Linked DNA regions of Oryzias latipes. The protein of the gene in region 4 purifies or fractionates together with the protein of the main gene of each other region. This does not show direct contact. Links are inferred from orthologs where the notes say so. Each region holds a gene or a part of one and is shown on either strand. Other genes may lie near its edges. The genes, in order: fut8, mettl9, c4h19orf25, slc30a4, pds5b, pds5a and cip2a.

Evidence for each region.
Region 1: the proteins of slc30a4 (region 4) and fut8 purify together in Homo sapiens (co-immunoprecipitation; 3 studies listed by BioGRID and IntAct, with this or other methods). This does not show direct contact. The link is inferred for Oryzias latipes from reciprocal best matches to the Homo sapiens genes SLC30A4 and FUT8.
Region 2: the proteins of slc30a4 (region 4) and mettl9 purify together in Homo sapiens (co-immunoprecipitation; 3 studies listed by BioGRID and IntAct, with this or other methods). This does not show direct contact. The link is inferred for Oryzias latipes from reciprocal best matches to the Homo sapiens genes SLC30A4 and METTL9.
Region 3: the proteins of slc30a4 (region 4) and c4h19orf25 purify together in Homo sapiens (affinity purification with mass spectrometry; 3 studies listed by BioGRID and IntAct, counting the BioPlex papers as one, with this or other methods). This does not show direct contact. The link is inferred for Oryzias latipes from reciprocal best matches to the Homo sapiens genes SLC30A4 and C19orf25.
Region 5: the proteins of slc30a4 (region 4) and pds5b purify together in Homo sapiens (affinity purification with mass spectrometry; 3 studies listed by BioGRID and IntAct, counting the BioPlex papers as one, with this or other methods). This does not show direct contact. The link is inferred for Oryzias latipes from reciprocal best matches to the Homo sapiens genes SLC30A4 and PDS5B.
Region 6: the proteins of slc30a4 (region 4) and pds5a purify together in Homo sapiens (affinity purification with mass spectrometry; 3 studies listed by BioGRID and IntAct, counting the BioPlex papers as one, with this or other methods). This does not show direct contact. The link is inferred for Oryzias latipes from reciprocal best matches to the Homo sapiens genes SLC30A4 and PDS5A.
Region 7: the proteins of slc30a4 (region 4) and cip2a purify together in Homo sapiens (affinity purification with mass spectrometry; 3 studies listed by BioGRID and IntAct, counting the BioPlex papers as one, with this or other methods). This does not show direct contact. The link is inferred for Oryzias latipes from reciprocal best matches to the Homo sapiens genes SLC30A4 and CIP2A.

What each region holds. Positions count from the first base shown.
Region 1 is NC_019882.2:5,661,912-5,665,411, reverse strand, and holds part of fut8 (alpha-(1,6)-fucosyltransferase), read right to left. Parts: intron 2,961-3,500; coding exon 2,714-2,960; intron 1-2,713. UniProt on the Homo sapiens protein: Catalyzes the addition of fucose in alpha 1-6 linkage to the first GlcNAc residue, next to the peptide chains in N-glycans.
Region 2 is NC_019877.2:20,101,629-20,105,715, forward strand, and holds the start of mettl9 (methyltransferase-like protein 9), read left to right. Parts: upstream 1-1,287; 5' UTR 1,288-1,302; coding exon 1,303-1,482; intron 1,483-2,019; coding exon 2,020-2,210; intron 2,211-2,282; coding exon 2,283-2,492; intron 2,493-2,654; coding exon 2,655-2,839; intron 2,840-2,921; coding exon 2,922-3,157; 3' UTR 3,158-4,087. UniProt on the Homo sapiens protein: Protein-histidine N-methyltransferase that specifically catalyzes 1-methylhistidine (pros-methylhistidine) methylation of target proteins.
Region 3 is NC_019862.2:22,306,201-22,309,831, forward strand, and holds c4h19orf25 (UPF0449 protein C19orf25 homolog), read left to right. Parts: upstream 1-1,407; 5' UTR 1,408-1,566; intron 1,567-2,230; 5' UTR 2,231-2,253; coding exon 2,254-2,395; intron 2,396-2,506; coding exon 2,507-2,688; 3' UTR 2,689-3,131; downstream 3,132-3,631.
Region 4 is NC_019861.2:12,910,575-12,912,997, reverse strand, and holds part of slc30a4 (zinc transporter 4), read left to right. Parts: intron 1-1,170; coding exon 1,171-1,324; intron 1,325-1,542; coding exon 1,543-1,756; intron 1,757-1,869; coding exon 1,870-1,975; intron 1,976-2,069; coding exon 2,070-2,204; intron 2,205-2,423. UniProt on the Homo sapiens protein: Probable proton-coupled zinc ion antiporter mediating zinc import from cytoplasm potentially into the endocytic compartment. Controls zinc deposition in milk.
Region 5 is NC_019872.2:9,916,994-9,921,042, forward strand, and holds the start of pds5b (sister chromatid cohesion protein PDS5 homolog B), read left to right. Parts: upstream 1-1,249; 5' UTR 1,250-1,355; intron 1,356-4,049. UniProt on the Homo sapiens protein: Regulator of sister chromatid cohesion in mitosis which may stabilize cohesin complex association with chromatin. May couple sister chromatid cohesion during mitosis to DNA replication.
Region 6 is NC_019859.2:13,072,760-13,076,259, reverse strand, and holds part of pds5a (sister chromatid cohesion protein PDS5 homolog A), read left to right. Parts: intron 1-2,000; coding exon 2,001-2,204; intron 2,205-2,786; coding exon 2,787-2,873; intron 2,874-3,143; coding exon 3,144-3,241; intron 3,242-3,460; coding exon 3,461-3,500. UniProt on the Homo sapiens protein: Probable regulator of sister chromatid cohesion in mitosis which may stabilize cohesin complex association with chromatin. May couple sister chromatid cohesion during mitosis to DNA replication.
Region 7 is NC_019878.2:3,256,982-3,261,028, forward strand, and holds the start of cip2a (protein CIP2A), read left to right. Parts: upstream 1-1,247; 5' UTR 1,248-1,610; coding exon 1,611-1,712; intron 1,713-2,523; coding exon 2,524-2,671; intron 2,672-3,177; coding exon 3,178-3,290; intron 3,291-3,980; coding exon 3,981-4,047.

The DNA.
Region 1 (3,500 bases), on a different chromosome or scaffold from region 4:
ATGAGACGAACCAGGTGATGGAAAGTGAGAAAAAAAAAACAACGAGAAACAGAAGAAAACACAGAGATTGCTGGCGATGGCTTGCAGCTAAATGCAAAGAAGATGTGTAGAAAAATAGAAGATGAAGGAAAACTCAGAACCACGTGGGAGACGGATTTAAACTTTTAAACTAGTTCCTCTTTTGAAGAGTTGAAGCTAGGTCTCATGCAAAGCTGCGGAAAGGTTAGCAAACGAACTACGGATTCTACAGTCTCCTGTGGAAACCATACATGCTGTCCCAGAGTCTACCAGACTAAATGGGTTAAAACAACAAGACAGAATCTTTCATAACGTCTGAAGTTCTGACAGAAAGAATTATTCATGAGTCAGGAGAGGCTGCTGGAAGGAACACCAGTGTTGGTTAGTGAGCGTAAACAAGCTTCCAAATGTGTCCAGCCGAGCTGCTTGAAAAGATGCTTTCATAAGTAATCTGGTGAACATTTATACAATTAAAGAAGATCAGGGTTTACTGCACTAAAAACAGACATTAAAATGACTGAGGATGGCTTTCGTCCTTTACGTTAGGATTAGAGGAAACACGTTTATGACCGAATAAAACAGAGTTAAGCTCAATTACAGCTATAATGTTATTCATGCAAGAATATCTTTAGAAAAAAAAAGTCAGCCAACAGCTCAGAATTTGATAAAAATGAAGAAATTCTACTGACAGCATAAAACATCACCTACAGATTATTAATATGTGAAGCTTGAAAATCATGCTTTAGTGAGGCTTTGAGCTGACTTTCTATATGGGGTCAAATCAGGATCAGCTTGAAGTGAATAAAAAACAGATGGTAAATATGGAAAAACAAGAAATGAAATTTTGAAAATGTAAACTTAGGCTCAGCACCAAAAGGGAAAATTCTGAATGAAAACTGTAAATGGAACAACTGAGAGCAAAGGGAGAGAAACAAACAAACAAACAAAAAAAAAAAAGTTGAAAAAAAAACCAGCAGTTGTTACAAATGGTAGCATTTTTCGGTTTATTGTTTCATATGTACTTTGAAAAAATGCAATGTTTCTTCTAAGTTTACCATGTATACTTTTAAGTTCAAAACTGTTTTCCAAATCTCAATTTTCTTTTTCAAAGTTGTCTATTTTTTTCTAATTTTTAACAATTCTTTAAAATGTATTTTTTCTTCTTCAAATTTACCATTTTATTTATCTCGATGTGTAATTTTATGTTGAAAACTGCTTTCAATTTGTTTAAATTCAAATTTAAAATGTCTATTTTTCAAATTTTCTTTTAGGTATCAAATTTATCTTTTTCAAATTAAAAGATTTGTTTTTAAAATTTTCAATAGTTCCTTCCTGAAGGTTTAAAAATTTCGAGTTTAAAACTATTTTCAAATTTTCCTTTTTTTTTCAAATGCAACATTTTATTTTTCACATTTTCAGTATTTCTTTCGAGCCTAAAATCTATTTTTTCAAATGTACTTTTTTTAATTACAATATTTGTTACAAGTTTACATTGTTAAAACTGTTTTCAGATTTCTTTTTTTTCTTCAAATTTTGTTTTTATATTCACTGATTTGACCCCATACTTTTATCTCATTCCATTGTCTTAAATTGTACATTTAAACAAAACTGAACAGCGTATTCTTCTTTAATACCCTCTGTGTTCAAAGTTTATGGGCAAAGTAATGTGATCCCTCTAAGGTCGACCTGCTTGGATCAATAATGCTTTACTTTCTGATTAAAGAAATAAAAAAGTACAGGTCTGTGAAGTTAGCAGGGTTTAAACTAAAACTAACTTTACATTTGGGGACTATCAGGAATAAATGTGCAGGTTGTGAGTTTTAGCAGAGTCTGGATGACAATGTAGGTCAGCTTTTCATAAGACTGCTGTGTTTAGGCCTCTCGTGGGATTTGTTGACAAGAAGAAAAATGTAATAAAACGGCAGCACTAATTAAAAAAGACCACTGAAGATAAAAGAATGGCTGCCAGGCCACTGTGTTGGTTTTTTTTTCCAGTAATAATGGATCTCGTTGCTTGTTGGGTTGAGATTTATCGGCTCTGAAATTGCCTTTGGTCTTTAGTCATACTTCATATAAATTATCCAGCGTTTAGTGGGGCGTCGACAACAACTAGATCAAAGAAGTTGAGATCGACAGTTCGATCCCCAACATTTCTGAGGCTCCCAGGGCGGGACACGAAGCCTCAAAATACCATCAGAAATGTTTATATATATATATATATATATATATATATATATATATATATATATATATATATATATATGGGATGCATAAATATAAACCCAGTGAGAAGTTTATGAACTTATGGTTGTTTGCAGCACACTGTGGGGGTTCCAGAGGGTGCAGATCGTTTAGTGATGAAATTTCATGCAAAACAGGCAGTTAGGCTGTTTTGAATGAACATGAGTTGGATGATTATCAGAAAAACAGTAAAAACTGAAGCCTTGAGTGCATAAATGTAGAAAATAAAGCCACTATCAAATGAAGTTGCTGAAAAAAAAACTCCAGAATTGGCCTTCCACTATTATCATTCAGTGTTAATTTCAGGCTCCATTCTTGAATTTCTTTGTCTTATGTTCTTTCATCATAAAGCTCTTCTAAAGCTTTACTGCAGATGAGTAATAGAAGAGCAAACTGCATTACTGGAGCTTTAAAGTCCAAGAAAAAAAGAGCCACACAAGCACAGCCTCCTTACCCAATGATGGGATGCTTGAAGCCCAGCTTGGCAGTACTCTGTTGGATCTCCTTCTCCAGCCACCCCTGAGGACGAACCAGGTATTTGACGAACTGGGACACCCACCAGACGGACGGGTCGCCGTGCAGACGGTGCAGGCGCGGGGCCAGGTCTTCTGGGATTGCCAGGGGTAAGTAAGGGGGTCGAGGGTGAAGGCTGTCCACTATAGGCAACTCCACAACCTGAACGTCCTTATCATGAGCCTCCCCTAGAATGATTTAAAAAAAAAAAAAAGGGAGGGGGGGGGTCAAACATGACACTATGGATTTAGAAACAAAACAGATGTGGGTTATCTGGGTTTTCCTGAGTGCAAATAATCATTTAGCGGTTTTCATAAAACATTTTATCAAAATTCGAGTCACAAATGTAGATCATGATAAAGTTGTTTTGTCTGATTACCAACAAGCACTCAATAAGACAAGTAGAAAACATGACAGCAGAACATGGCTTTGAGATCTGACTTGCATTTATGCAATCTGCAAACTTTTGGACACTTGCAAATATTTAAAACCTTGTTTTTAGACATTTGAGATATTTCAAACGGTTTTAACTTAAATCTACAGCATTTTTCTCAAAATCAGCAAAAGTTTTCGTCTCATTAGGAGCTAGGATCTAGAAATAAAGAAATTACTATAGGAAAATACGTCAAAATCCTTTTGCTCCAAACTAAAAAAAAACTCAAATTGCACCGCATTGTTATTTTAAAGTTCAATAAAAGTTAAGTTAGAATGGCATATATTATCATTAT
Region 2 (4,087 bases), on a different chromosome or scaffold from region 4:
CATCAGGTAATACTCTCAGGAGGAACAGAAGGCATCTGAGGAAAACACACTCAAGTTTGTTTAAGGACACAACTCTGAATTTGGACTCGGATGGACTATTATCTCAAAACCCAGAGTCAGTTGATCCACCAGCATGTGATTCCCCACAGAAATCATCTTCAGAGAGTATGGAAAACACAGCACCGTACTTCACACGCAGTGGTCGAGCAGTCATACGTCCTGCCAGATACAGAGACTAGTTAATGTGACAGTTTTGTGTTCATACTGTTGCTTTGATTTGTTTAATGGTTACGTAAAAGAAAAGAGTATGTTCGTTTTAAAACATTTTAAGAAATAAGTTAAATGTTTGTATGTCGAAGTTTCAGACTACTGCACTAAGATGCACATTGTTAAATGTAAGGTTGTTTACAATCTGAATTTGCCTAGCCATTATGTTAAGAGCATAAGACCGTCTAATGTTCAAATTATTTAGAGGGTGCTTTTGTGTTTAAACAACTGTTGAAGATGTTATGACTAACATGTCTTGGGAAAAGAGGGATGTGGTATATTGTGATAGACAGTAATAACCACCGCCACCAATAGATGGTGCTGTCGGCCTGTATATGCCATGAGGGGTTTCAGAGTAAAGTACATGTAAAAGCTCTTGCACCGAAAGCTGTGTCCCTGTCGTCGGTCCTAATTAAGAGACCCGCTGATAGCACCCACGCTAAGGTAACTCGGAGCAACATCATATAAAGTCACAACAATTATTATTATAATTATCATCATCATCATCAGTCTAATGGAAAACATTTTTTTCCAAGTATTGAAAATCATGATCGTATTTGTTATTTTTATTGTTTTTACATGTTTGAAATAAATAAATCACTACATACATTCGGTATAAGTTAGATACTCTGTATGATTAATGGCTTGAAATGTGGAACCCCCTTTTCAGCAGGAAAACAGAAAGTTGCCGGTGTTTGCCGACAGGGGGCAGTAAATCCCCAAAGATTCGGTGCTATGTCAACCCAAACACCCAGAAGAAGAATGCGGATATGGTTGTTTTTATTGTTAAAGGGGGGAGTGTTTCTCATCCCGGCTCAGTTTCTGCCGTTTCAGCTCAGCAAACAAAGCTCCGCTTGGACTAAGATGGTGCGTAAATAGCAGCTTGCCTCCGTAAAGTCCCCCCACGCCCACCTCAGGTTGGTTTACAGTCCTGGAATAGGAGACGTTTCTCCTCTCGGGGTTTTCTCGTCTTACCTGCTCTTGTCCCTCTGCTGTCGGCTGCCGCTCTCTCGGCTCTCAGACATTGTTTTCCGTATGTGTCATCTACAGCTGAAGACTCTGTTTTTTGTAGCCTGGCTGCTGGGCTACGTGGCGTTTCTGCTCTCCATCAGGAGAATGTGGACCGCTAAGCACGCGCGCAGCCCGCTCGTGCGCTCTCTAGTCCTGAATATGGTGAATGAGCACGAGGCCAGTGGTGCCAGGGAAACACACGAGGTACGACTGTCCTTATTTTTTTTCTGAAAATATAAAACTACAAAATCTAAATTTACAGTGTTTATTTTAAATCCAAGAATGTCCTTATTCGAATGTGTCACGAATTTGTCATTAGTTATTTATTCGTTGCTCGTTTAGCCTCTTTGCACTGACCTAAATGATTCAGAGGGATGCTGAAAAGAGAAACTTCTGTTTTGCAAAAGAAACTATGCTGAAAGAGACAATGTGACAGTAGTTTTAAAGATGACTGGGATTGAAACACAAGGGGGGAAATTGGTTTTGCACAGGAAAGACTATTTTTTAACATTTAAATAGGAAATAATTCTTAAATTCTACTTTCTGCTGTGTAGTTTAACACAGCCCCACCTCTGCTGAGCTGAGAAAATTCAATCCAAACAGACCTGAACTGTTTTCAGGGAGGGGCTGTGGGGTAGGTAAAGGGTGGTATTGTATGAGACTGGTGACAGGAGATGGAGTTCACCTCAGGACTTCTTAAAAAGTGTTGTGAAATCAAAACCTCTTGTTCTGTTTGTTCAGTGGTACCGATGCTGCCCAGATCTGCTGGGAGAATCCGTCCGGCCTCTCTTCATCCAAAGCCACTTGGACTCGGACACCACGGATTTTCTCAACAGGAGCGCAGAGAAGTCCGGCTGGCTGTTCACGCAGCTCTACCACTCGCTGGTGTCCACCGTCCTAAGCCCCGTTTTGTCGCGCACCTCCATTAACGGGTGAGCGCTAGTGGGTGTTTGAATTGCAGCTTGTGTTCCTCTTCCTGCTCCTGACCCTCCTCTGTGTCACAGGGTTTTGGGGAGAGGGTCTATGTTCGTGTTTTCGTCCGAGCAGTTCCAGCAGTTGCTCCGGATCGGCCCAGACTGGACGGCAGAGAGACTCCTGGACCTTGGAGCTGGTGATGGAGGGGTCACAGAGGTGATGGGAGTGCATTTCAGGCAGGTCTTTGCAACTGAGGTGTCTGTGCCAATGAAGTGGCATCTGCAGAGGAGGAACTACAAGTGAGTAGAAGCATATCCTAAAAGCTTTCACAGGTTCCTTCCCTTCAAGCCAATACAAGAATGCAACCACAGAATAACACTGTGTTCTTTTGGGTTGAAATTAATTGGCAATTAGAAGTTTTTCCTCTCTGTCTTTTTGTTGTCTTTTCCCGTGTGCCACAGGGTTCTGGGTATAGACGAGTGGCAGCATGTTGGATTTCAGTATGATCTTATCAGCTGTCTGAACTTGCTGGACCGCTGCGAGGATCCACTGCACCTCCTGCGGGAAATAAGAAAAGCCTTGGTTCCCAAAACCGGACGGCTCGTCTTGGCTGCTGTGCTTCCCTTTCAGCCCTACGTAGAAGTCGGTCAGTGAGGAATCCCATTTCTGTCTCTTCTGCTGACGTTTCATCTAGCTAGAAATCCAAGCATCGTTTCTCTGCTTGACAGGCGGGAAGTGGGAACGACCAAAAGAACACCTGAAAGTTAAAGGAAAGACGTGGGAGGAGCAGGTGACCGATCTGTCCAGCGAGGTTTTCCCGCGGGTGGGGTTTGAGGTGGAAGCGGTGACGCGTCTGCCGTACCTGTGCGAGGGAGACATGTACAATGACTACTATGTGCTGGATGATGCGGTTTTTGTTCTGAAGGCCTCCGGCGACTCGGAGCAGTCTGTTCATGAGCTCTGAACACAACACGGGGCCCAAAATTTCTTCTCAGTACCTGGATTTTAGTGCAATTCTTCTTCTTCTTCCTCATGCATTTATTCATCTCGGAAATTTAGAAGCAGGGAGTTGGGCGCAACACAGCAGTGATTTCCTTTTTCTTTTTTTTTTTAGTTTGTTATACTGTTATTTCAAACGAAAACCTAAGGGGGATCATCCTTTCTAAAAGTTTTTCTGTCTTCCAAGTCCATTATTTGTGATGTAAATGTTTAACTGTCAACGTTTTAACCAAAATTTCTGACAATATTTGCATAAACGGTTCAATTTATAGTACTACATATTTGATTTCACCATTGCACAAGATTTTTACAATTGCCTGTTCACCCTCTGAGACATAAAATCCCACAGAGGTTTTCCAGGTGAAATATCCCAGAGGTGAAGCACTTTATGAGCGTTTCACGTTGTTCCCCCCTCAAGGTTGGTAATGATGGCAAGATCCCAAGCATTAGTTGCACAATGCTGGACGCCGCTCCACTAAGATGCATTTGCTACACGACTGCAGGGAAAACATGCCGCTTGGCCTATAGGAGTGTCACACCTTTTGGCATCTTTCTGTTGGATTATCAGCGTAATTCTGTGCCACGTTTGGCACCACCAGATCCTAAACTTGATCATATTTTACGAACTGTTTCATTTCCAGATCACTCGTAATGGATCTATGCACCTGACCAAAACAGTTTTAACAACTTGAAATCTTTTCCATCCTTCGATTCAGTATTAAAGCCAAACCTCAAGCTAAACTTTATGGAATTCCATGCTTTTGTTTTGCTTTGTTGCACTGAATTTAATATCAAGTAGTGAATTTCTTTCTAAGTGACAACAGGAAACCGAAAAGTGCTGCATACGTTTGATATATTCACAATAAGAGTATCTGATTGTAGCTTTAGATCTATA
Region 3 (3,631 bases), on a different chromosome or scaffold from region 4:
ATTTTCTTCTTCATTCTGACGGATCCCAAATGAAAATCCGTTAGTGTCAAAGACTGGTTGATTGTCTATCAAGTATTATACAGAAATTGCATGTCAGATCTCCTGTTTCTGTCTTTTTCATTTTTAATATATTTATTTATTAGGATTATTGGTATTTGAAGCTCCTGAAACTTGTTAAAGATCACCATCTACCTTAAGGATGTAGAGAATCTCTGTTGTTACATTTTTACTTGTTCCATCTTGATGAAAACAATCTTAGAATTCAAAACGTTCTGATTAAAACAAAACTATGTGAACTCTGTCCTTTTGAAGTGTTGTTTTTGTTGCTGCTTACAGGTTTTTGTTGCAGAATGTTGTCAAAATCGAACATTTTTCAGAAATGTTTTGTTTCTTTAGATATTGCAGAGTACGACACACTTTTAAGGTGGGTGTGATCTCTAGATGTTTTTGTCTTGCTTACGTGATTTGAGAAGAAATTCAAATTCTGCATGTAGTTATTTGTGCTGCAAAAAGTGTCTGGTTCAAATCCCAGCTTTCTTCTTTTGTTGTGGAGTTGCAGCATTTTTCTGAGCATAGGATTGAGTGTGGCAGCCTAAATGAACCCCTCAACATTTCCAGGTTATTTGCCCCCCTCCCAAACCAAAGGAAGCTGGGATAGGCTCCAGCCCCCTCAATGACTCACCACAGGATAAAGCTGGACAAGGAGATAGATGAATATTTCATTTGTCTACCTTATCTGGCCTATTTAATTTCTTTTCAAATCCAGGATTCAGAGCAAATAAATGTTTACTTTTTATTCACCAATATTTTCACGCAAGTGCAACTTAAAAAAAAGTCTTTGTACTTGCTCACTTTTTTTGAAATGAAGAGGAATTAAATGAATAATAAAGAGGAATTAAATGAATAAAAAATTAAATGACCCTTAGAATTGCTTTATCTGCTGTTTTTTATTTGGCCTCAGGACTTTTTCTTTTATGGGGGTAATCTTTAGCACCACCCGCAGATCGTTTTGTAGTTTGCCAGTTTGCTACATTAGCTTGCTAAATTTGAAGTTTCGCAAAAAGGTTTCAATCTAAAACTACATTTCAAATTATTTATGAAATATACTAAATATACTAAATATAAACTACAAACTATGTGAACTTTATTGTGACATTAATACTTTTCCTTACTGACTTCATCTTTCTGTTTATTATTTCAATTAAATTTACCAACATGAATCATATTATTTATTTATTTATTTATTTATTTATTTATTTATTTATTTATTTATTTATTTATTTATTTATTTATTTATTTATTTATTTATTTATTTATTTATATAACAAAAAAGCTCAGTTCTTGGTGCAGGTGCCACTCCAAACCTGAAGGGGGAGACAATGCACCTCAAGGATGGTTGGCACCGGATGTCAGTTTGCGAGAGCCTGCGCATGCGCTGGGGGTGCTCACTGTTGACGTGACGCGTTCATGTTCGGCTCTTGTTGATATTTGTGCACATATCACGCCAGTTTTGAGACCCAAGATGCAGTTGAGGGACCGAAATTGACAACAGTTGCATCCGTCTCGGTAAGGCTTTAAAATCTTTACTTTTGAAACTAATCCCGAGTTTGTTTTAGACCATTTTTCTGATACAACTAAAACCTCTTACAAAATGCATAACGTATAACTTTACGCCATTCTTTTCTTATTAAAAATGTAAATGTTTTGAAAATATCGACTGAGAAACTTTTTCATCGTTGTGGTTCTTAAACGTGTCTTTCAGATTAATTACTCGTCGCTGTTTATATTTGTCAGCAGATTAGCCTAATGCTGGTTTCCCTGTATCTGAAATTAAATCCTTAAAAATATTTTCGAAGTTTTAATATGCAAAAACTTGCAGAACTTTCTCAGTTCTTTCTGCAATTTTAAACACTGTTTCGGCTGTGAACGATTTCTGGCTGCTATTTAGCCTCATCACATCACTAAAAACCTATCTGGTGGCTCCACACTGATGAATAAATGAATGGACGAACTTTATTAATCCCAACAATGGGAAACTCAGTTCCAGTACCTCTGCAGCTCTTTAAGAAGAATAAGCACAAATAAAGAAATGCTACATGTTTAAATTAATTATCTACAGACTTATTGATACTAAGCAGATCATAAAAGAAATTTCTGATTAATGCAGAGGTTCTGTATAAATGTACATTTTGAGGGTATTTCTTGCAGAACATCTTGGTTTGTATTTCAGAAGTTGGAGTCAGTTTTGTTGTAATGAACCTCGGATCGAAAGGCAAAAAACGGGTGGTGCTGCCCACCCGCCCCGAACCCCCCAGTGTGGATCAGATCCTGGAGGACATCAGCAGAGCAGCTCCAAATGACCCAGTCTTCAGCATCTTGGAGAAAACTGGAGAAGGCGAGTCTTTGTCCCCCAAAATAAAGTTGACCACTTTATTTTGCCTGCGAATGATGGGACTTTGATTTTAATGTTTGAGTGAATGTTTGTTGTGTGCTTTTCGGCCTCTAGATCCGACCCTGCCTGCAGACAGCGAGGTGGAGTTCAGGTTCCAGCAGTGCCGGCAGTATCTGAAGCTCAATGAGAGCCTGAAACATGCTCAGGGTCAGCTCCAGACGCAGAGGGGGGAGCTGCAGGCGGCAGGGGAGCGGCTGGACAGCAAGGTGGCTGAGGTCAAAGGCCAAGTTCTATAATCCCGAACTGAATACTGAACTGTTACTGCGGTGCCAACAAGCTGAAAATGAGTGGTTTGGAATGGGAAAGTCATTATCAGTTCAAGAAATGAATCAATCTTGAAGAGTAACTGGAAAAAGGGAAATGTTCCTTAGGCTGAATCGCGACTTTCTGCATCCCTTCTCCAGTCGCAGAGGAATTCAGCTGTGTCAGTGTGTACTTGTTTGGGCTGCTATATTCATAAAGCTGATATGAGCTTTTTTTTTTTGTTTTTTTAATATATTAACCCAGGTTCTCAACAATTGTTTTCAAGTGAATGTACAGAAGGTTTAGGGTTTTCATTTCTGTTTTATTTAATCTACTTGTAGTAATTTTTCTGAACACAAGAAAACAGAATCTACTTTTTGATTTTTAATGCTATCGTGTTAAAACAGAGACAAGAAATAAAAATGGAACTAATTAATTTGTAGATATTTTATTCATTTATTTTGAAAAAATTTGTTTTTATAAAACATTTTGTAGAACAATCTGTGTTTTCATGGAAACACCTTTACAGAAGCCTTCTAGAACCTTATAGTTGTTTGGGTTGGAGAAGAAATGGTGTAAAAAAAAAAGTAACCTGGGTGTTTGATAAAATAAAAGCCCAACACAATGGTTTTAAGAAAACACCACTTTTATTAGATGATGGCATTTATAATGACACAACCTGTCTTTTTCAAATGAGTGACCAATGTGGCCTGGTACACTTACAGGTGGGAATTTGACTCGGCTACAAACTTTGATCCCGTCCTGTCTTGAACGAGGCAGTTAACAGCGGCGGTGAAGAGCTGCAGACGTTTGTTAATCTATTTGTCATGACAAGTTCAAGCTGCTAAAGTGTTGCTTTTACTCACGTTTGTCCATTTACAGTCATTTTACTGCATCTGCTGAGGAAGAAACAGCTCAGACGGATGTTTTAGACAT
Region 4 (2,423 bases):
TGTGATTTCTCCACATTTAGTCAAATTCCCATAGAAAACGATTAAAACGATGCAAACAACAACCTTTAAGCATAGTTGCAAGCAAGGGAGTAGAGGTTAAAGCCAGAAAAATCTAGTATCCCTGTGAGCTATATGTATGGACGTTGCTCTGAAAACGTCTCTCTTTATGAGCAAAGTAGGTCAAATGTGAACTCTGAACAGAAAAGAGGCTGAGATGTCTGTTTAGCTTTTTTAAGACCAGGTCATTTGTGTTCACACTTGTGGTTTCTTAGTTAGAACACTAAGCTTATGTCAGCTGGCTATCAGCAACTTTTGTTTTGGTTTGCTTTCACAATGCACTTTTGAGAGTGGACCAAGTGCTTTGGCTGCTATTTCAGGGGAGAGGGTTTCCTGAGACACAGTTACAAAGGAGAAAATAATTTGGAAGAAACAAAAACGAAAACTCAGCTTGTGCTTTGTGTTCTTTTGTATTTCTGTGGGTTTATATAAAGAAGCATCTAAATCCGTCTCAGCTGACGAGAAATTTTCCAGATGATTCTGGTCTGAAGTTGCACTAGCTCCATCCCGTCAGGCTTTACTTGCTAACAGACATTTGACCCACCCTTTTAAGGCACAGCAGGATTCATCTGTTTAGTCCTCCTTTAAATTTCACATGAGCTTTCATGCTCATACAAATGAAGCAAATCTAAACAGCCAGACATCTTTTGCTCCTCATGCAGGTAATGGCTGACTCTTTTCCATAAAATCAGAGATGGAGAAGCAAATGTGATTAAAACTCGACTTGCAGACGAACTAGACTCAAACACATCAGCTTGTGTTTGTGGACCGGTCCATAAAGGCTTGTTCAGACTCTGCAAAACATCGGGGAAAGACAAAAATTCACCCAGTCAGCATCGTTGTATCACAGAAAAAGAAGTTTACTGCTTTTGGCAAAAAAAGAGAAAAATGTTCTGTTCAAGTGTGTTAAAAATTAATGTAAAGCAAGAGGTGTTTTGACAATCACTTATTAGGGTTGAAATCTCCTAAACATTGGTGTTTTTATCTTTTTTTCAAAAAAGACCAAATAAATTGTTATCTTTGATCAAGTGAGCCATGGATGTTTTCCAAAAAGCTTTTGTTTTTTGGCTTGGTGAAGGTTTTTGCTAACACAACAGTCCTTTGTCGTTGCAGAGGTGGTGTCAGCCGTGCTCAGTGTGGTGCTTATCTACATCCTGACTGGTGTTTTACTTTATGAGGCGGTTCAGAGGACTGTTCACCAAGACTTCAGCATAGATGGGGATGTCATGCTCATCACTGCTGCTGTGGGAGTGGCTGTTAATCTCATGTATGTAAAACCTTTGGATTATTATTCAAAGCCTTTCAAAAACATGCAAAGCCTTAACATAAGGTTTCTTTACAAAATAAAACTGTGCAAGTGTTATATTATAAAGTCATTATATAATATTTGATTTCAGTTCATGGGATTCAGTTCATCAGTTCCAAAAACGATGATGTAAGTTAAAGTTGAAAGATTATTGATGTCCTCTGGTCTTGGTTTTCTAGAATGGGCTTTTTGTTAAACCAAGGCGGCCACCTACACTCGCACAGCCACGGTCACGGCCACTCGCACAGTTCTGCAGCTGCTGCAGGTTCACGGCCGGCTGGGTCTGGTCAGCCTCATGGGAGCCTGGCTGTGAGGGCTGCCTTCATCCACGCTTTGGGAGACCTCCTGCAGAGCGTCGGGGTTCTTATTGCTGCCTATGTTGTCCGGTTCAAGGTACACTGACAAAAACATCAACAAAGAACTTTTTTCAGAACTTGCTTCTCATTTTTCTCTCATATTTAAATATTTGGTTTCCTTATTATTGTTTTCATTCTTAAATTTTACAGCCAGAGTTTAAGTTGGCAGACCCCATCTGTACCTACATCTTCTCAGTCCTGGTTCTTTTCACCACAATCCGCATCATTCGAGACACAATAGTCATTGTGCTGGAAGGTGAGTCTTTGCTCTATTTCCAATGTCCATTTAATGTCATCTTTGCTTCGGATAGGAGATCTATAACAGTAAAGTTTCTGTGATGGTATGTCAGGTGTGCCCAGACACCTTGACACTCAGCGAATCAGAGAAGACCTCTTGAAGCTGGAGGATGTCCAATCCATCGATGAGCTGAACGTGTGGGCACTGACGGCTGACAAGACGGCTGCTATAGTTCATCTACAGCTCAGTGAGTAGCTTCTGTCCAAAGCAGCCTGCAGGGTTTCAACATGTGGGGTTCTGTGGGATTAGGTTAACTGTCAGCCTCGGGAGTTGAACCAACCAACAGACAGAAGTACGACTAAGAATCAGCCTCCCAATTTTACTTGTAGTCTTTGAATACAAATACTCCTCTTGTACCTATTTATAGCTTTTTTTGAGGGTTCTTGACAGCTGGAATTTTTAGTTT
Region 5 (4,049 bases), on a different chromosome or scaffold from region 4:
TGCCCAACACAAATGACGTCACTGTCAAGTTTGAGGCTGGCATTATGGTGGTGGAGAGCACCTGCAGTGATAAAGTGGAGAAGATGACAGGCTGGTGTAGGGATATTACCCAAGAAAAAAAGGACAGAAACACATTTTAATATGAATATAAAAATATTTAGTTAATATGAAACCATTAATTCATCATTTATACTAAGAAATAAATCTGTTTACAATCAAGCAAGTTGGCCTGCAAGCTAAAACGTCAGAACTGCCCAAGTAATACTTCAGAGTATGATGAAACCAGATGATGTAAAGAAGAATTAAAATAAAATTAATTCATGTAGGACTAAAGACCTATGAAAAGGACAGCAAACGCCCCTTATGAATAGACTCTAAGCATAAACAGCTGTAGTTAGAGAACTGATGGATGAAAGTATCATACATGCAAATTTAAATGAATAGGTGGTCAGACAAAAGAAACTGGTCATGAAGCCTCAAAAATAAGAATCACTGGATAGAAAAAGTTTGCTTTTCAAAGAAAAGTGAGATAGAAACTGAATCAAATAAAATTTATGTTTTTAATTTCAGTCTTAGTGTTTCTTGCTGTCAGATAGATAGATAGATAGATAGATAGATAGATAGATAGATAGATAGATAGATAGATAGATAGATAGATAGATAGATAGATAGATAGATAGATAGATAGATAGATAGGTTGGTTGATTGATTGATTGATTGATTGATTGATTGATTGATTGATTGATTGATTGATTGATTGATTGATTGATTGATTGATTGATTGGTTCAATATTGGGAACAAAGGAAAATACTAATATAAATTTGACGTCAAAGCGTTTCGTTGCGTTCACGCGTCGTCGGGATAGTGGGGATTTTTAAGTTCTCTGTGTTGATTTTAACGCTGAATAATTTTTTCTCATTAATATAATGAATTGCATGATATGTATATATGCATAAGGGATTTCAGAAATATAAACAGGAACCACAGCCATATTCAATAAATCACAAAACTAGAAAGTTCTCGTATTTTTTTCCAAACACAAATCTCGAGCTGAAACTGCTAATACATGATTTTATAATTATAATGGACTGATTAATAGTTGTTTGAAAATTCGTCCATCTTTATGTAAAGTACGCCAATATTTCCATTATTTCATTCAATGACTTGAACGCCGCATGAACGACTCAATTGGGTCCAAAAGTCATATCTGTAGTCGCCTATAGGTGGCACTACACACTTGCTGATAGTTTTTACCCATGGGTTCTGAATCTATGCATATTGGCGCCATTTTGGAGCTAGGAGGGGGAAGAGAGCTGCAGAGGAGGACGCTATTTATCACTATTCATCGTAACAGGTATGAAAATGCACTTGTGAGGATACCTGTTCCATTTTAAATTAGCAGCCTTTGCATGCCCGCTTGCGAAAACATCAGTTTGATCCGGGATGTGCCCGTGAAGCGGCCAGGTTTCTGGCGCAACAATGTGGAGTGCAGCCCGCCTCGTTCGCCTGTGTTCTCGGTAGTCTTGTCCGATTCACAGCGCTGGGTTGACTTGCTGCTTGGGCGCAAAAAACGGCTAGCCCGTCTAAAACTAGCTTATTAGCATAGCACAGTAAAAGCAAACACCAGTTGGGCTTGGTTGTGGGAAAAAGGGTCGAGATACCAGGTACGATATAAAGGTGGCTAGCCGGAGTGTTTTGTTCCATCAGCGTTACTGTCTGTCCGCCCTCTGTCACTGAGATTGCTGCTGTTGCTAACGCTAGCTTGCACGCGCTAGTCAATGTAGGAGTTAGCATGTGTGCGAGCCAGCAAACGGCGGCTAACACAGTTAGCTTCAGTCAACATAGCCAGACTCTCAGTAGTGTCTGCCTTTTTAACGGTCCCCGACCCCTAAAAAATGCTAATTAAAGCCTAATTGCTAGTTACAAACTATGGTTTATCTACCCCTCCCCCCTCAATTTAAACACATTGCTGGAATGCATCCCGAATACTAACTACAGTGATTTTCGCTGTTACTTTCTTCTATGAGATGACCTAGTGAGATAACATAAAGCCCTATAAAATACTTTCACCGTAATATTTTTCAACGCAGGTGATTAAAGAAAACGTGTACTTATAATTCAAATTCGTCGTATCATCTGATTTCGACTAACTACACGCCTCTTTGTTGCACACATTATGTTCATTAAATAATAGCATCTTGCAAAGTTTCCCCGTTCAAGATAGCAGTATGGAACCAGGAGGAACAGTTATGAAGTGTCAGTATGTTTGCGCTGACAGTCTCCTCCAGGGCGCTACGGCGTGTTGTTGTTGACAACCATCAAGCTGGCTGAACATTGCAGATGTGTGTGGGAATCGCGTTTTGTGTGGTCGTTGACACTGTAGCCATGACACAAGTCTTTTATGTTGACACTTACAAATGTATACAAAAGTTGTGTTGAACCAAAACTTTAACATTTCTTTCAAGCCGTTTGTTGATTTGTTTTCTTTTCTTTCTGTTAATGAATGACTTGAGTTGGATTTAGAAATTGGATAGGATTAAATGACTACTCGAGCATGCTTTGTTTCATTCTTAGCTTTTGATTAATGTTATTTGGGTATAGTTATGTGTTTCTGAACCATAGCCATGTTGTCTATGTAAACACATTTTATATATTTCAATTTTAGCTGAATTTTAAGGGAAATACGCAAACTACAATTGTGTGAGCATTGCTCACATGTTTGTTATTTATAGATTTGCAGGTTTATGACTGTTATTTCCTGTTTCTTTTTTGTTATTTTTGGACAGTTTTTAACTCTTTTGGCAGCCTTCGTTGAAATCTATTGTTGGTGTTTTTTCCTCAAATTTTCCAAAGTTGCTTTAATTTCAGTGAAATCAAGCTCTTTCACATTGTCAGCTCATTTTCCGTCCTTTCTTTGTGTTGGTGTGTGTGGGGGGTCACAGGGTTCGCCCTTCCAGACGCTGGTGTCCCTGCCACATTCTCTTGGCTTTCACTCTTTCCTTTCCTGGTGATTACTTACAGGGTTAAACCAATGTTGCCTCTGTCAAGGTTCAAGATTAAGGAAAGGAGAATAGCGCCCTGGCTGGCAGCTATATTTAAAGGATCAAAGTGAGCAGAGCAGAAGAAACAGCTTGATGGAAAACCCTCTGTGGGGTGGATACGTGTGTTGGACTGTGATAAACCAGTAAAGGCTTTTACAGTAGCTTGTGTTTAACATGTTGAGTGAAGGATAGAATGATTCTTAACTCTGCTTTAAAAATGTTTCTTAGATGAGTTTGGGGGGAAATCTGATTAGATTTCCATCCCTCAGTTTTCTTTTTTAAAAAAAGGATGTTGAAATTGCCTTTTTTTTTTTTAATCTCTATGTTTTTATTTCATTTTGCCACTTTAGTGCATTTAAGTCTATTGCTTCAATTCCTATTTTTAAGTCATTAAAATTGGCATTGTTCTGTATTTTTAATTTCTCTTAATTAGTTGACTCTCTGTTTATTCTACGTATTTTAATATTAAAAGCTTATCAGTAACAGATCCTAATTATTTTTAGCTTTGTTGTTGGTGTGTTTTTTAAGGTTGATTATTGGAGGTGTAACATTTCTTTTGATTTCAAGATAAGGTAGGAACTTGACCTACTAACATCTGTGTTGAGCAACCCCACTGTTGTTAGGTAGAACAGTGATTCAGTCCGATTTACAGCAGTTTTGACACTTTCTATAAGAGAGGATTTTTAAAAGCAGAAAAAAGTTATATTTCTTGTCTTCTGAAAGATCTAAAAGTTTCAAAATGCTCTCTTCTCTTATTTAAAAAAAACATTATACATTGTGTTTAATATGTTTTCTGTTTTTCATTCCAATCAAAAACAGTTAAGTAAAAGAGCTTAAAGTAATTAAATGAAACCTGACAGCTAATCAAATCTTTTCTAAATTTAGAAAAATAAACGAATATTTAGTTTGGAATGTTTAGTTTTAATCACCAAGATTAGATTTTTTTTTATTTTACTGTTTAAAATTAGAGTTGTGTAATACACATAGTAATAATAAGGATTAAAAAA
Region 6 (3,500 bases), on a different chromosome or scaffold from region 4:
TCTTTACTTTACTTTATTCTACAATTAAAGAGGTTGTAACTGCGGAGACCTTTTGCAATCAAAACAGATCTTATAATAAATGAGAAGGAAAAGAAATATGGCTGTATGCGCATGCCTGCTTGTGGAAGGCATCTACCTAAGACTTAAAAACAACACAGTTGTGTATCCTAATTTTCTTGTGAAGGTTGGCCCTTTCAGGAAAACTATGTACTTAAGGATGTAACTCTGGAATTGCTGGCTACTTTCAAAACCCACCCCTTGAGTTTCTTTGTGTCGACTTTATATAGAAAACTGGACAATGCTGTGTGTGACGTCACCCATAGAGAATACCTTACCTCCAGCTCCAGCGAAATGAAGCCTAATCATTAGCCATTTTTGCATGACACCCCACCATCTTGGAGCCAGACGACAGTGATTGATCCTAGTCGGTTACGTTTCTAGGGCAACTACTGTGGCCAATCATGAGTAAGCTTGTTAGAAGTCCACACTCCTTCCACTGAAAGCGGGCCAGGGAGAATGCGTCAATCAAATGTTCAAGGTGGGGGCCAGCATTATTATCACATGCTTTTTATTAGCCATCTGGTTGGTCAGTTTAGAATTTGAATAACTTGTGATAAAGAAAAAATGTAATGAAAAAAATAGATTAGCAAGAAAATATTAAGAAAAATGTATTGGAACAAGAACATTTAGTCTGACCAATGGAAGGACTTAGGCACAGCTGTTCTAAATAGAAGTCTCTGGGTTTTTGTTTGCTTGGAGCCAGCATGTACTTCCTATTTGGAATGCAAGGGGGAGGGGTCACTCAGTCCAGTTCTCTGTATACAGTCAATGGTTGAGGTGCAGACGACCCTAGCCTTAGCTTTGCTGATATGACAACTATAAAGTCTATAAATGAGCTGCTGGTTTTTTGTTCACACGGAGGGAGAAATGACAGTTCTGGAAGTTGTGCAATGAGTTCTCATGTCACTGTCATCCATCTTCTCTTTTTTTTTAACAGTTGCACGGATGTAAAACTAAAAAATGTATTGGATAAAAGTGAATACTTGCCAGAAAGTATCTGCTCTTTGAAGAGAAACCTTCATGTCAATTTAAATTGATGTCTGAATAACTTCTGTTATTATTAAAAATAAACCCCATCTACAAGTAAATTCAAAAATCGTGTAACTTAAGAAATCAGATTCACATCGTGTGTGTGGTTGCATGGAATCACACACAGTTTGTCTTCAGGCTTCAGTCATATCTGCTGCACCATTACAGAGCTTCAACTTTGAGACGTCTGTTCTGACCTCCAAGGTTTTAAATGAGGAAAAAGTTGCATGATGTGAACGTAGAAGCTGGAAAGACAGAAAATGAAATTGATGACAATAGAGCAGCTGCTGGTTAGCCGACTGTTACAGTAGAAATCAAAGCAATTGACAGCTGTACCATCTGTCCCTGATATGTTTAAGCCAATGATGGTTTAAACAGCTGCGTCATTTTGCTGTGTTTGCATTTGTATACTAATCTTGAATTCTGTCTGCTCAAGAATTTTATGTAAATAGTCTAATAACTCAGATCTTGAATATGACACAACCATGTAAATACATGTTTCATCATCTTTTCTGGAAGTGATTTATCTTACACAGAGGGGCTTTTCTGTGCTGTGGAGCAGCCTTCGACAACCTGTCTCTGCTTGACTTGATGAAAAAAATACTTTGTTTGCTTTTTTTGTTTTTACAAAAGTTTCTGACAGAAGCTTTCATTGATCCCTCTGGCATCTTTGAATTATAGAGGAGCAGCAGAGCTCAGATTCTGTTTTTTCTTGGTACATTTCTCAAGCTCAATCTTCGATCTCAAGCTCTAAACAAACATTCTGCATCGGGTGTCTTCATGAGCTATCATGAAGTCAGACTTTATTAGAGTAAATTTAATATTAAATTACAATAATTAAATTAAGGATCCTGCAGCCAACGACATAAATAAAAGTGATTTTACTTTAACACCTTCCTTTATCTTGACAGATGGTTGTGAAAACCTACATGGACATGGATCAGGACTCAGAAGAGGAAAAGCAGCAGTACCTTGGCCTGGCGCTCCACCTCGCCTCCGAGTTCTTCCTAAGGAACCCAAATAAAGATGTCCGGCTGCTGGTGGCCTGCTGCCTCGCTGATATCTTCAGAATTTACGCTCCCGAGGCTCCTTACACCTCCCACGACAAACTCAAGGTTAGCAGCTGATGCTTTACCCAACACAGTTTAAGTCAGAATTATGGAAAGATGGTTTAAATGCATCATATCCTGAACAATTCACAGGTGTATTGCCATTACCAATAAGAGAGGGGAGCCACCAATATATTTGACTTATTTTCTATGCCAACTTCACGATATTTCAAAATAAAACAAGCAATAAACAGCAGTCAGATAAAAAACGTTATGTTGTTAAATCTGCTTCTTCTACATCAAATAATAATAATGATAAAGTGTAATTATTTTTAAATTCATAACCATTACAAAAAGTAAGTATTTTAACTGCATTCTGACACTTGAACTAACAGGAACAAATGTGTTTTAAATCACTTTAACATTGGTGTTATTAGTTGTTTGCTCTGTAATTTAACAAGACTTTTGGAAAGAAAACCTATAGTTATTGATTTTCATTTGAAATTTGTTTCTTGATATTTACCTTTTTGCCTCTTCATTTAAATAAACAGACTTAAAAAGTTGTTTTGCTGTAAGAGTCCACTGCTAAAAGGGCAGATGTGTTTGTACGGATATTGGAACTGAGTTCAAAATGATTTATTTCTGCAGGACATCTTTCTCTTCATTACCAGACAGCTGAAGGGACTAGAAGACACCAAGAGTCCTCAGTTTAACCGTTATTTCTACCTGCTGGAGGTACAGTAGAAACGAAGCCCAACTAAAAGTCGCTTCTTCTTTCAGATTTTTGACAATAAGCTTAATGTCTTAATATATGACTATAAATAAAGTCATTTCTTTTATTTCTTTATTTATGTATTTTTTATTGCTATTTATATATTATTGAAAGTGTCTGTTTTTAGAATTTAGTCAGACTAAATGTCAAGTTTCTTTGTCTCAAACAAAATGCAGTCATGCACAAACCAATCAAGGTTTTTTTTTCCAAACGTTTTTTTTTTTTTTTTCTAGAACCTTGCATGGGTGAAGTCATACAACATCTGCTTTGAACTGGAGGACTGTAATGAGATCTTCATCCAGCTCTTCAAAACGCTGTTCTCCGTCATCAAGTAAGGCTTTAGAAACCTGCTCTTACCTGTAAAACTCTTCCTGCTGGAGACTCAGGCGGTCTGATAAGCACCTTTTGAAATAGACGGATAATTTACATCAAATACTGAGTGTCCGCTTAGTCATAGAACTGCTTTCCTTTTGCTCTTTTAAGCTAGTTTGTTTTAATGTTCCATTTAAGAAAAATGAAGTGTAACATTTGAGTGTTTGGTCTTGAACAGTAACAGCCACAATCAGAAGGTGCAGATGCACATGATGGAC
Region 7 (4,047 bases), on a different chromosome or scaffold from region 4:
AAAATGTGGCACGACAGCCTGGCGAGCTCAGCTAGCGAGTCGGGTGGTTAACAAAGAGACGGGGAGATCCACAAACCGAGAACAAACTCGGCCGATCTAGGGAAGGGCTGTATTTCGACACAGTGACAACCGCCCTCACCTGTACAGGAGGCTCAGTCCTCATTCAACGGAGAGATTCGGAATGGCAACGGTAGAGATACGCAAAGTCGTCCTTTGTGTTGGAGATTAGCCGCTCCGTGTCACTGCTAGCTGTAATGTTAGCTTGTAGGCTAACTAGCGGTTAGCTAGGCGGGACGGAGCGGTTTACTTAGCGCCAGAACCGGCTTCACGTCACCGAATTTGGTAAAAACAACGTTTACTTTACGTTTGAATCTAAATTAAATATTCCGTTTTTATATATTTTTTTTTTCATTTGAGTTTCCAGCAGTTACATTATCTGTCTCCTGACAACAACGATGTTATTTTTATATTTCCGCCTGCACTCAAACACGGTTCAAACTGCTCCCTGTCTGTCTCTCTTTCCGCCCGCTTTGCTTGCATCGATTCAAGAGGCGCCAACCCTTTGCACCAATCAAAGAAGTCTATCCTAGACGTTTCAGTGTCTCCTTTTACGATAGGTCAGCTGGCCCGACACTGATAACCAATAAGAATCAGAGAATCGCTGGGGCCCTGCGGTGGGGACATGTGCGCCGGTTTTCTTTGTTCTCCAAATTGTTGACGAAATAAAATATAAAACAACAGTTACATAAAGCACAAACGTTTAGCACAAACAGCACAACAGATTTATAATACAAGTTTTCAATAAAACATTTGTATAATAAATATTATTGATTAATCATTTAACATTTAAATTAATTTAGGAGCAATCCTAAAATAATATGAAATTGTTTATGCTGTTTTCATGTCCAAAAGTATGAAAAATATTTTTTTCAGTCATTTTCAATTTTTTTTCCTTCATGTCTTAATTGGTTAACTTCAGAATTCTCTTTGTGAGTTTGCAAAATTTGTAACAAAAAAGTTAAAAAACATTTGATAAATATTTTTTTTACATATTTAACAAAAAATATATTTTGTTACTTTTTGAGTGTGTGCGTGCGTGTGTCTGTATGTGTGTATGTCTCTACGACGGTGATTGGTTACCTGTCTTGTTGCGTCATCACTTCGGGTGATATCCATAAAATTGGGGAGGGGGGATTTTTAGAATTTTTGTTTGTTTGTTTATATAGAAAACTTAATGGTGACGATTTAATGGGCCTTATATAAAACACCACTTTCAATAAAAAATATACTACAGACTAATTTAGAAGGCAATTTGATGTTCATCCAGTCAGTTAAAAAAAGCTTTCCCGAACAACCTTTTTTGGACATGGTTCATTCCTTCTTCGTTCGAACCTGGAAGCGGGAGGACGTCGCTTTGCTTTAGTTGATATTAATGAATGGTAGAAAAGTGAAGTGGCTGAACAGCTATAAATGTGCTAAAATAAGTTAGCGGGATTTGTTTGTTTGTTTTTTTCAAATCACAGCAAGAAAATTGGTTGTCCCGCGACTAGTGTTTGCCGTTGAGCTAACTTGCTAGCGGGCGTTAGCACTTGTCATAACAGTCCCCCAAGATGGACACAACGACGTGTTTGAAGTCTCTGCTGCTGGCTATCCAGCAGTACAGAGACGGCAGGACGGCGCAGCAAGCAGCACAGCTTCAAAAACAGGTGGAGGTGAGCACCAGCGGTCAGACGTAGTCTTTGTCACTGCTCGTGTGAGACGTCATCTGTACTCTGTCACTGTGAGGAACAACAAACGCAGAACTCTGCAGCAAAACTCACCTTTATTTTGTCTTGGCACAAATGTTTGGTTCGTGTTTTTGTCAGAAACCCGCAGGCAGAGTTTGTGACCTGGAAACATGAATGTGATCAGGTTCTGATTTTGCTCCTGAACTCTTGGCCTTTCCCTGATATGCATCAACATAACAGAATTAAACAGATCATCTGGGTTGCTGACCAATCCAGAACCCTGCTGGCTGGCTGGCAAAGAAATAATCAGTCGAATTAGTATTCCATTCAGAAGTGCACGATTCAATCAAAGTTACGGTTTGACATAATTCAATTTAGTTTGCACCAGTTGTTGCACCTGCCCTCCTTTGCCCTCTTCGGAGTGAGCTGCTGGGGGGGTGGGGTGGATGCACTGACAGGAATAGGAAGAGGATCACCAAACTGGTGCGAGGATGTTACGGAAACTGGAATCCATCATGGACAATCCTCTTCACCTTCATCATCCTCAGCATGTGACCACTGAGCAGCTCCTTCAGTCAGAGACTAACAGATCACTGCAGGAAGAAACGCTTCTTCCTGTCAGCTCTTAGACTCTACAGCGCCTCATAGACGCTGAATCATAATTATTGTTGTCATTAATTCAAGTGTATTTGGAGTGTTGTTTATTATCTGCTGTTTTTAATAGAGCTACGCTCACAAGGAAATGTCCCCTTTTGTGGGATCCATTTTTTCAATTCTGTTTGTTGCGTGTTTGCAGGAAGTTTGGGGCTTGAAATGCGAGCAGCTGCTGACATCTGGCAGCGCTCTGACCAGCGAGTGTGTGAGCATGTTGGTGGAGCTGACTGCAAACCCGCACACTGAGCCCAGCCTGAAAAGCTCCATCATCTCTCTGTTGGCGCAGTTAGGTAGAGTTCAAAAGTTAAATCTTACCAAGCATGTTTGTACCATATTTAGCTAAAAGAACTTATTGCACTGGATACAATACATAATTACCCCCTGCTTTACTGAGTTAATTACCCATTTACAAAGAGCACAAGTGACATGCTACCTGTCAGGTCATTGCAGTTTATAACTCCACACCTCATACCTCCACTCTACTGGAAATGAAACACACACAGTGTACGTATGGCTTTGATGAATACAGCAGGAATTTCTGTCCAGGTTTCATTAGTTTGCTCCTCAAATATTTGATCATTTTTTAAAAATGAACCATAACCAGATCCAAAGAAACCACAGAAACGTGTTTGTGTTCATAAACCAGGAGAGGTTTGCAGCAAATGATTAGCATTAACACGTTTAAGTCAGATCAGTGAGACGCTCTTTGGATTTTTCATGAGTTTAGGAGGAGGAATTTCACAATCTAGATCTGATCTTTCGGACTCATCTGCTGCACGTTTTCCTCCACCCGCAGCCTCTGACAACTCCACCCGGGAGCTTCTTCACAGCAGCTACAACCTTACCAGCACCCTGGCTGCTGTCATCCACTGCTACAGCAGCACTCCAGGAGAGCCGCTGGTGCTGCAGGTGAGAGCAAACGGTAGTCATGGTGAGGGAGTGACCGATCTCAGAAGGAGCCCCCACTTTAGACAGAGCTTTCTGTCGGAACTGTGCTCTCCTGTTGTTTAGATGTTCCTGCTGATGCCTGATTAGGTCTCATCCGAAGCTGCTCCCACGTTAGCTGGCTGCTGAAACCCATTTCTCTCTAAAGAAAAAAAATATTGTGTTACAGTCAGGACCATAAATATTTGGACAGAGACACGTTCTGTCTAATTTAGTTTCTGTACATCACCACAGTGAATTTGAAATAAAACAACTCAGATGCCATTGAAGTGCAGACTTTTAGCTTTTATTTATGGGTTGAACAAAAGATTGCATAAAAATGTGAAAAAGTAAAGTGTTTTTTAAAACACAAGCCCTTCATTTTTTACCAGAACCATCAACCTGACTTTAAGCAATGACATAAAATTGTTTTCAATAACTTTAAATTATATATAAATTACATTTTCTATAGAGGCAGATATATATAGATATAGATATATAGATATAGATATAAATATATTTTTCTAATCAGTTTTTTTTAAATATTCTGATGTGGGTGCTTTTCCTGACCATTTTCTCTTATAATATTTTGCCAAAATTCTGATTTGGGTGATTATTATCTATGCTTCTGCTCCTGTTAACAGTGGATGTCACGTTGTGCTGGTGGTGTTTCAGTGTCTGCAGGTGCTGCAGAAACTGACCTACAACACTCGCGTCTTTCAGTCCAACAGCTGCATCCACC